2 linked regions of the Drosophila melanogaster genome follow. The protein of the gene in region 1 purifies or fractionates together with the protein of each later gene. This does not show direct contact. Each region holds a gene or a part of one and is shown on either strand. Other genes may lie near its edges.

The links.
Region 2: the proteins of Pc (region 1) and ph-d purify together in Drosophila melanogaster (affinity purification with western blotting; 11 studies listed by BioGRID, with this or other methods). This does not show direct contact.

The regions. Positions count from the first base shown.
Region 1 is NT_037436.4:21,316,421-21,321,579, forward strand, and holds the start of Pc (polycomb), read right to left. Parts: upstream 1,601-5,159; 5' UTR 1,491-1,600; coding exon 1,377-1,490; intron 1,063-1,376; coding exon 4-1,062; 3' UTR 1-3.
Region 2 is NC_004354.4:2,119,524-2,124,682, forward strand, and holds the start of ph-d (polyhomeotic distal), read right to left. Parts: upstream 2,270-5,159; 5' UTR 2,202-2,269; coding exon 2,164-2,201; intron 2,102-2,163; coding exon 540-2,101; intron 479-539; coding exon 28-478; intron 1-27.

The DNA.
Region 1 (5,159 bases):
AGCTCAAGCTACTGGCGACGAATCGCCTTTCATGTCGCGCTCACGAAAAAACCCGCGCTCCGTCTTGCACTCGCGTATGGTAACGGTCTCCAGGTTTACGGTGACGTCTGTGATCACCACCCGGTTGGATATGTTGCATTTGGCCGGCAGCCAGAAGCGCGGCGGAAGGGCACGCGGCGAAAGAGGAGTAAGCGGCTGTTTCTGGTTGATAGCCAGGTTGTTGCACGGTTTTGGTATGTTATTGTTCTCGGAAGGAACCTGTGGCGCCTGTTGGTTGCCTTCCTCGTTGGCTACTTCTTCTTCCTCAGCTCCGGACTCTGCGGGCGTTGTGTTTATGGCTTCTGTGGCCAGTGGGGTGGCCTGCTGCTCAGATTTCAGCTGCGTTGCAGCCTCGCTGGCAATCTTTTCCGCTTGCTGCTGATCCTGGAAGGGCTGCTGCTGGCTGGGAGTTACCTGCTGGGTCGGCTGAGGCTTAATAGTGGGGCCATCTGGGGAGGTCTTAATCGTAACTCCAATCTTGCCCGATTCCTTGAGCACCTCGGCTTTGCGTTTGGTGCCGATCAGCGGCTGATCCTCGGAGCTGGAGGAGTTGCTGTCCGGCTCGGGGACAAATGAGTTGTGCGTGAAGCTGCTGTTCGAGGAGGAGCTGTGATCAATGCGCTGACGCTTGGACTCGTGGTGGTGGTGATGATGATGGTGGGTCAGCGGAGATTCCGAGCGCCGTCCACTGTTGCGTTCGGACTTGATGTGGTGATGATGGTGGTGGTGGTGATGGTGCTTCTTCTCCTTCTTCGACTCCTTATCGTGGGTAGCCGATGAGGTGGTGGCTTGATGCGTGTCCACATCGTTTTCGGTGAAGGTGTACTCATCCTCCTCGGATTCCGGCTCCGGATCGGGTTCTTTCTCCTTCTTCTTAATGCCTCGCTTGGAGGGAGTTCCGGAGGATTTGTTCGTTTGTTCGTAGATGTCGATGAGGCGGCGATCCAGGATGTTTACCTCCGGTTCCCAGGTGTTGTAGCGCTGGTTCCAGCCCTTCCACTTGACACGGTACTCCACGACGCCCTGGAAAATCGAGTAAGTGAAGGAGTGGGGGTGGATTGCATTTTCTTAGACAACTAATTGATTTTCCATTCAGCGAAACAAAAACACGCCTCACATACACACACACACACATACGAACGCACTACGCACACACACATGCATCGTGCAAATGGTGGTTGCAGCAGCAGATGTCCTCTGGCCAAAAAATGTCGAAGGACATGTGACCTTGTGGACTATACATATATCCTGCGTGTGCTGCGCATATTGCATTTGCCATTTTTAGCGGAGCATCCCGTTTTGGTCGCCTTTTTCGAATTTGTTTACGCTCATCTCACCTTCTTAACGCGCTTTTGGATGATTTTCTCAGCCGCGTACACTAGATCGACTGGATCGTCGGTCGCATTGTCGCGCCCCAACTTCCCCTTACTCCCCTTGCCTCGACCAGTCATTTTTAATTAATAATCTTCTCGGAACGTTTTATTATTCGTTTTATTTGCAATTAACTTCTGGTTTACAATTCTGCGTACGTCGATAGTCGTCCGACTCGATTATTTTCATGTAAACAATCGATAGTGCTGCGAGGTGCAGAGTTACCGTGCTACAAAGAACTGGGATCATATCTTAGCAAGTAGCCGTGTCGCACACCCTTTCCTGGCAAAATTAGCAAAGACTCAAAACTTTGATGACTAGACACACCTAATTGTGCGTTTTTAAAATGTAAATGTTTTGTTAAAATATTTTCAGAATTTCTTGACATTTTTCTATTATTTATAAATGGGGTATATAAATGTTTTAGAAAACATTTTTTTGGCGCTGTTGCCTTATACACTATTTTCTTTTATCGTTTCTACAAATTACTAAACCGGCGAGAAGTTAAACCAATTAGCTTAAATATAAAATAGCTTTTAATCAAATTTTAATAAGCGCATTTTTAATGAATCCTTTGTACAGTATTCTTTTTAAACTGCATGTTGAATTGAATTCCAGGTAACGAAATATTATACTTTCGTTAACGTTTATCGTTGTGTTGCTTTCATCCCATATTGAGTTTTGATTTTCCTTTGTCCTGCTTCACTTATTGTATCACAAATTGCCACATATACTTCGCCCCATATTCCTATTCAATTAAGTTTGATAATTAACTTGATTACAACTGAACTAGTTACCCTCTTCGAACTCTTCAAATGCCACATCCTCAAGAGGGAGAGAAAGTGCGGGAGAGAGTGTGAGAAAGCACAAGAGCGCCGAAAGCTCAGGATGGATGTGAAAGGAAGTGGCCGACTGCAGATATTTTATGCCAGTTGTATGTTGGCCGAGGGTTCGCGTGGCGGGGGCGGCAACGACGATGACATTATTTTATTTATGCTGTGATAGTGAAATAACAACAACACCAAGACCAACAACTGAAATAACACCCATTCCCTTGAAATCAATCGCAATATTTTCGACGAGGGACGCGAAACGCATGGAGAATCTTCACACTTAACGACGAAAACGAGAAATTAACCAAAAGCTTTAACCAAAACATAAAGAAAAACACCAAGCAAATTGTTGCGAACCCTATAAATAGATTAATGTTTAATTCATAGTGAAAACAGCACCAATTAGCGCATAACCTATAAAATATTAGTCAATATGTTTAGCTAGTTACAATTTACATAGATGATATTTAATTAGTGGCTTCAAACAAAACACCAAGCAACCAAACAACCGAACAAAAAAGGGGAAAAACCAATACCTAGTTCAATTGTACGGAGCGAAAAACTAACGAATAGCGATTAGGAAAACTGGCCAACTGATAAGGCTGGCGAAAATATTAAGCTTATAGCATATAGGAAATAATAATAGCAACGGCAAACCACCCCATCTCCAGGCGAAAGCCCCGAATAGCGGATTCATTCAGAAAAACGTGCCACACAACCGGACGGGAGCGACGGACAACGGTAAATGTCAAAGTCATAAAGAGAAAACTCGGAAATGCCGATGAGAGAAAGCTCAGAGAAAACGTCAAAACTATGAGAGGCGATAAAAGCTAGCCAGTTACAGTTATATTGGGAGAAGCAATGCCAAGTGTCAAAATCGCAAAGAGAAAGTAACAAAAGAGAGACACAGCTTAACGAAAACTTCCGGTTATTTTTTAACCAGTAGATTGAGCATTACGGCCATATATTAACGCAAACAGGACAATGGAATAGCTTGTATTTATCAGTCGTTTTGCCTAAAAAAAGAGTTTATAAAAAGAAAAGAGAAAGGAACGCCGCAATAGGAGGTCATACAAATCCTCAGAAGAGGGGTCGATGATAATGTGACACAATTCTATTCAATATGCGCAAATAAAAGAGACAGTTTCGGAGTTAATTAGGGGAAAGCCTAGATAAAGCTCAGAGCAAATCCCGAATCTAAACCAATGAGAAAGTGAAAGCTCAGGATAAAAGCGTCAGCACAACTTTTGGCCAAGACACAATCCAATAAAATCGAAACCAATGGCCAGCACAGCGGTGGGACTGGGAGGCGGCGAAGGTGACCCCGGGGCGGGAGGACCGCCAGCGGGATCAGCGCATCCCGACGACGCCAGCAGCATGAGCGACGACGTCTTCGAGGATGCGGAGACCACCCAGGCCAGGATCGAGGAGCTGCGTCGCCGGCCCTTTGGCGATGGCTCCTACAATCCCCCCGCAGCGCCCGCCTCAGTTTCCGCCTCGATAACGACGACAACGACACAGCAGCAGCAACAACATCACAATCCTTCGCATCACCACCAATCCTCGCACCACCAACCATCCCACCACCATCACCACCACCACCACAGCCAGCTGAGTTTGACGGGCAGCCATCACTACCACGACGATGCTATCATGGCGCCCGTTCAGCGCTCGGCCACCGGATATCCTGGCTATCGTCCCTCCCGCGAGGCAATGCAGATGTATGCGTACGGAACGGATGACTACGACGATGACTATAACGATGGTTGGCGATCGTATCGCTACGATGAAGTGGACATGCACCCAGCCCCGTCCAACGCCCATCAGCAGCCCTTCGATGATACGGTTAACCACAAGACGATCCTGCTGGGGGATTCGGGCGTGGGAAAGACCTCCTTCCTGGTCAAATACAATACGGGCGAGTTCCGACTGGGTTCCTTTTCCGCCACAGTGGGCATTGCGCTTACGGTGAGTTTTGAATACTGCAGTACCACAGTTTGTAAGTAGAAACTACTCTAGCTCCATATGCTGTAACTCGAACCAAAGGATTACCGTTTTATAAACTACTTTCTCGGTAAAAGCAACATCAAAGCAATGCAAAGTACTTGGTAGCCTAACCCGTGAATTTAATGATATGCCAACTTAAATACAGAATGGAACTCTCGCATGTTGACAGATGTTGGTTCGAGTTGCAGAAGTTCGAGCGTGGTGCCCAAGCTGTGGAACTCACTTGGCCTTAAACTTGCGATTGTGGGCGAATCCGTAGCGCTGCCTGCTGCATGAAACCCGCACAGTAGCCTGACCCCGCCTACTTAACCAGCCGCCCCTTTCCCCGCCCATGTATTGACGCACATTCGAATGGGCTCGCTTATGTAGTAAGAGTACGTCTGTGTGCATTGGCCTGCTGTGTGTACCTAATTGGGGAGCAGTTCCTGCTTTTGGTAATATAAGTCTCCGCCTTCGGGGCACTGGGGAGTAAATAACTAATCCAAATCTCATAACAGACTGTCGTTTTTTCAAAATTTTCTCTATGGCTGTTACGCCTAAATTCGTTTAAATATTATTATTTGTAGTAGTGCCATTTACATACATATATTTCTAGTTTTCGGTACAGAGACATGTTATTACTATTCCGCAGTAAATAATAAAACTCTTTTCGCCTCCTAAACGTATTAAAAATGACAAGACCAATTGGAATCCTTTCTCGCAGTGCACCTTTTTACTCCGCTAAATAGGCAACATATTGTTCGGGTAATCGCCGGAGATTTTCTATTTTTGGCGGGCATGCTGAAATCCCCCAAATTGATTTTTTCCCGCACGGTAAATATAAATCTCTGCGTTCGACCTTTTCCACGTTGTTGTGTTGTGCTGACATTGATGGCTGTCTGTGTGTGACTGTATGTGCAGCGCGCACTC
Region 2 (5,159 bases), on another chromosome or scaffold:
GGCAGATAATAAACAAACAATACTCACTTGTTGCCCGCCGCATTAACCACCTGCTGGAGATTCGTCGCCTGTTGCTGCTGCTGCACGGTGGTCAGGTGGCCTACTACCTTATTTTGTCCTGCGACTTGACCGATTTCGGTTTTCAATGTGGCTAAAGCGGGGCGCACCGGCTGCTGCTTGTTGCGCATTTTGGCCTTCAGCAGGCTCTGGTTCTGGGCAGTCTGTGTGGATACGGAACTGGCCGGACGCACTTGAGTTCCATTGTGGGGCATGACAGGGGCTCCTGGTCGCTGCAGAGCGGCTGCAGTGAGTTGCTGCTGCTGTTGCTGCAACTGGGCAGTAGCCACCGCTAGTTGCTGCTGCTGCGTCTGGTTGGTAGTGCCAACCTGCTGCTGCTGCTGTTGCTGCTTGGGAGCAAGTGCATCCAGTTGAGTGCGTGCCTTAGTGGGCGTCTGCGTCACGTTGCATTGAATAATCTCTGTAGGAAGATAGTTGACTTTAGTACCTATCCGATGCAATATACATGACAATATTCTTACGGTTTTGCTGGGTCTGCAAAGTCTGCGTCGCCGGTTGCTGTTGAATGAACATGCCTTGGGTTCCGTCTGGCTGGTTTCGCAGGATGATCTGATTGGAGCCGAAGGGTTGCAGGCCCGCCGCATTCTGCCAGAACCAAGGGATCTGCATTTGTTGCGCTTGGCCAGCGTTCAAAAGTTGGGCAGTCTGAACAGACTGTCCACCCACACCGACTGGCAAAGTCGACTGTGAAACCTGCACGCACTGCTGAGTGGTTTGGGTGGTCTGCTGCTGCTGTTGCTGAACCTGCTGCACCTGCTGGGTCTGTGTTGACCCAGTAGATCCAGGACCCGTCGCCGCCTGCACCGTGCTGCTGGTGGTGGTCACCTTCTGAACCACTTTCTGGGCCAGCTTGCCCTGCGCATCCACTCCCACCTTGGCCAGAGCGGCAGTCAGCTGTTGCTGTTGCTGCTGCTGGTTGAGCTGCTGTTGCTGCTGGTTAAGCTGTTGCTGCTGCTGTTGGGTAAGTTGCTGTTGTTGAGCTGCGGCGGCCATTGATTGCAGAAGGTTTTGCTGCTGCTGTGGCGAGTGGGAGATGACATTCACCGGCGAGATGAGCACCGTCTGAGGCGACTGATTGTGGTTCGAAGGAATGCAGGTCGCGTAATTTCCGCCAGCGAATCCCGCTTGGCCACCGATCATTTGCTTGGCGTTTTGAGTCGTGGTGGTAAGCATCTGGGGGCCGTTGCCTTGGAATGGCTTGCCGGCGGTGATCACCTGGATTGGCTGCTGACCGAGGCCTCCTGGATGCAACAGATTTCCCGACACAATCATTTGGGGATACAGGAAACTGGTGGAGGGTTGCATTAGCTGCACCGTCCTTCCCTGTGTCCAATCCCCGCCAACTCCTCCAGTGGCCGCTGCCAATTGCATCGGCGACATGGTGCTGATGGCTGTGGAGTGCTGCTGTTGCTGGCTTTGCTGCGAGTTGGCCGGACTAGCTGCTCCTCCGGCTCCGGCCGAGGCTGCTCCTCCACCGTTGGCTTCCGACAGCTGCTGCTGCAGCTGCAACTGCTGCTGAACTTCCATAATGTTGGTTGCATGCTTTAGTTCAGTTCCACTGCCACTGGTCGTGTGCGTGGGAAACTCTTGCTTCACCTGAATGGCGTAGGGATTGTTTGCATATAACTGCTGCAGCTGCTCGGGGGAGATCTGCAGCGGCACATTGGTGGCGGCCGCCACCTGTTGAGCTGGACTCTGTGACTTCTCCAGTTTGCGGCCGGTTGTCTTTGAGTCGGGTGCGCTTGGCGATCTGCTGCTGAGCGGTAGTAGTGGGTGGCGCCGTCTGATTGATGGCGTTCCGACTGACCCACGTGCTGCCTTAGAGCTGGGCGATTGGGATGGACTCTTGGCAAAGTCCTCGTCGAAGCTGATGCCTGCCTTCTGGGCGAGTGTTTCCAGGCACCTTAGTGGCCGCTGGGGGTCCACGCGAGTGGTGGAGTTGACCTTTACAGATGTGGTGGCTTCCGGGGAAGGTGGTGGTGTACGTATTGTTGTTGCTGATTCACTTTCGGTGTCCCCACTGCTGGAAAGAGAAAGAGGAAACGCACACAGACTATCAGTAAATTGCTTTAAACACAAACAAACACGGACACACTTGGCGCGGCTCCGAATCCGTGGGGCATGCTTCATATTCATGTTTAAATTTATATTTATATTCTTATTCATATTCTCTTAGCGCTTGACGAACAAACCGCACAACAACAAACTGCGACTGCATGTTACTCCCGCCAAAGACTCTCTCTCTTGCTCTCCAACGCGAAAAGGGGGACGAGGAACAGAAAAAGAAAGAAGGGGGTGCGACAGGGACGCACTACCATTGAGAAAGACAAAGACGGGATCGATCTGGGTCCAAAAACGCCAAAGAAAACGAAAACGAAAACAAAGTCGGGACGAAAATGTGAGAAGGGAACGAGAGATACACTTTGTTTTGGATGATCGTTCACTCACGAGGTAATTTACTTACAGTGGATACTGTTTAGGTGAGACGTGGTAAGCTTAAACACCAACATATTATATGGGAAATTACAAATGATTGCAGCTACAACTTTGTACAACACTAGCCCCACCGTGTATTCAGTACTTTTTACGGAACAGGTAAATAAATATTTTAATTTGTTCATGATTCGTGACCCACTAAAAGTGCACTGTTTTTCATATGTGCATGCACACCAACACCTAAAGCAGGTCACTTGTCAGCGTTGCCTGTGCCCGAAACATCTATTTATAGTAGGATTGCTCTCTGCTGCATATTCCCCTTCTCCATCACCTCCTCCCATCTACTACGCAGAGAGGAAGTTCGAGTGGGTGTAAGGGAGACCACTTTTATTTACGGATGGCCCTTGGGCGATGGTTATAAGCCATCATGGTGATATCCAAGGGGACAGGTTCAAAGACCTAAGCTGGGCGCTCAAAATGCTGTCGCCAGTTGTCCAGGAGTAAGAAATGGCCGCGGCTCAGAGGAGCGGAAGGAGCAACCGGCGCCACCAATAATAGTTAGGAGTTTCAGTTACATTTGGTGTGTATCGGGGGTGGATTTTGGCTTCCATTTCCATCGGCAGGCTAAGAGCGGAACGGATTTGGAAGGGGGGTAATAAACCTAGGCACAGCAGCATCTTCAACTTGCAACCGAAAGACTGGTTTCTTTCTACCGCGCCACGATATGTGCATGTGTGTGTGTGCATGTGCGTGTGGCGGCATACAATAATGCCATCATTATTTGATTTTTCCCTTAGCCAAAAATTGAGTTGCAAGAGGCAGAAACAGAGGAAGAGGAGAAGGAGAAAACGAAGAGGCAGGGAGCAATGACAACAATGCGGCGCAAACAACAGGCAAAGAGCATGCGCCGACGACAGCGTCTCATCAGAAAAAATATGTTTTACCGTTTTCATTTTTGCTTTCCTTGCTGTACTGTATTATTGTATATTTGGAGGCACCTGTACATGCCTAACATTCAAAACGACGCAACTTTAGACGCCGCACAGCATTAATTGTTTTCACTAATCACTTATAGTCAGCACCGATTTGCATTGATCGCCAAAAATAAATATATAAATAAATACTACGAAACGGTGGTAGGGTGTGTGTGCGTCGCGTCGGCGCTTTTTTTTTCCCCCGTTCAATACACATGCGGTATGCGACACATCGACACCACACCAACACGAACGCAAAGAGAGCAGAGCGCAAGAACCGCACGCCGCCAAGTTAAGTTTCAAACTGAACCGCGCGCTACAGCGACAACTCTACTTTTGCTCGGATCGGAAACAAAATGAGCGCATGTGTGCTGAATGTGTGTGTGTGTGTGTTGGTGTGCAGCTGGATCCGCTTCTCTCCTCTCAGATACCGTTGCGACTAATAACTTTTCTCTATACCGAAATGCACGGGTGCGAGTGCGACGCCACTAGGAGTGGCCCTGGTCAGATAGCGCGTGCGAGCGGGATGCCGTGCGTTCGCTTGGGGTTGGAATGAAACGGCAGCAGTTGACAAAGCAAAACCAAAACGAGTAAAAAAAACAGGAATCAAGACTACAGCTGGCGGGCATGTGTATGCGTGCTCAACCACCCCGACTGTGCGCCCCCTTCCACTGTGAAAACAAAATAAAATACCCGAGACCGAATCCAGTTTTCTGTGTCTGTACACTCGAATGTCTACCGCCCGACTCAAATTCGATTGCTGCTATACTTCATCTTCTTTTTTTCGTTCCTTCACAACCACCACTACTTGGCAACCTCTAGCGCCTTTCTCCCTTGCTCTTACTTTATACAACTTACTTTATTATTGGTTGTGCTTGTCGGAAACAGACGAACGAAGCGTTTGCGAAGGGAAGGGGTAGCGTATGCGCAGAGACAGAGTGATATGTTCCCACAGTGGCACTCGATCTATTGTTATTGGAATGCATTATTGTTGTACTTTGGCAACCAAAGGCACACTGGAGCAATCTTATAGAGCAGCAACGTAAAACTTAGGATTTACATAGCTGTGTAGAACAGAAATATCTTTGTATGTACATAACTGTCGACTTGGGTTATGCCAGTAAAACAAAAAAGTAATGGTGTAAAATAATTATTATTATTATTAAATAATTATTATTATATTAAATAATTATTATTATATTATTAGGAACATAGATATAAGATTTAGAGTTTCACTTACATATTAATATATTTATTAATTAATTTTTCAAATGTTTCACATATTTACCGTTCATGACCCAAGGTGCCTGTCTTTGGCATTTCATTTTTCATTTTGTTCCAGCCCGTGTGTGTGTGCGTGCATCATTTGTGGTATGGGTGCGTTGGTTGGACTCGGTCTTCTCACTCTTCCCACCCCTTCCAACAACAACGTCGCTGAGGCCCACAAGTGTTCATCATTCCGATTAGTATTGCTTTTTTGCTCGGCTCGTTTTTTCTCGTTTTCTTTTCTTTTTGCAGCCGCCATATTATTTTTATGCTTATTAAGTGCTTTTGCTTTCTCTCTCTCTCTCACTCTCTATTTTGCTTAGTTGGTTATTTCCCTCTTTCGCCTTTTCACCAAACGTGTAATCTTCCTTGAACATTTGTATTTACAAACATACATACATACAT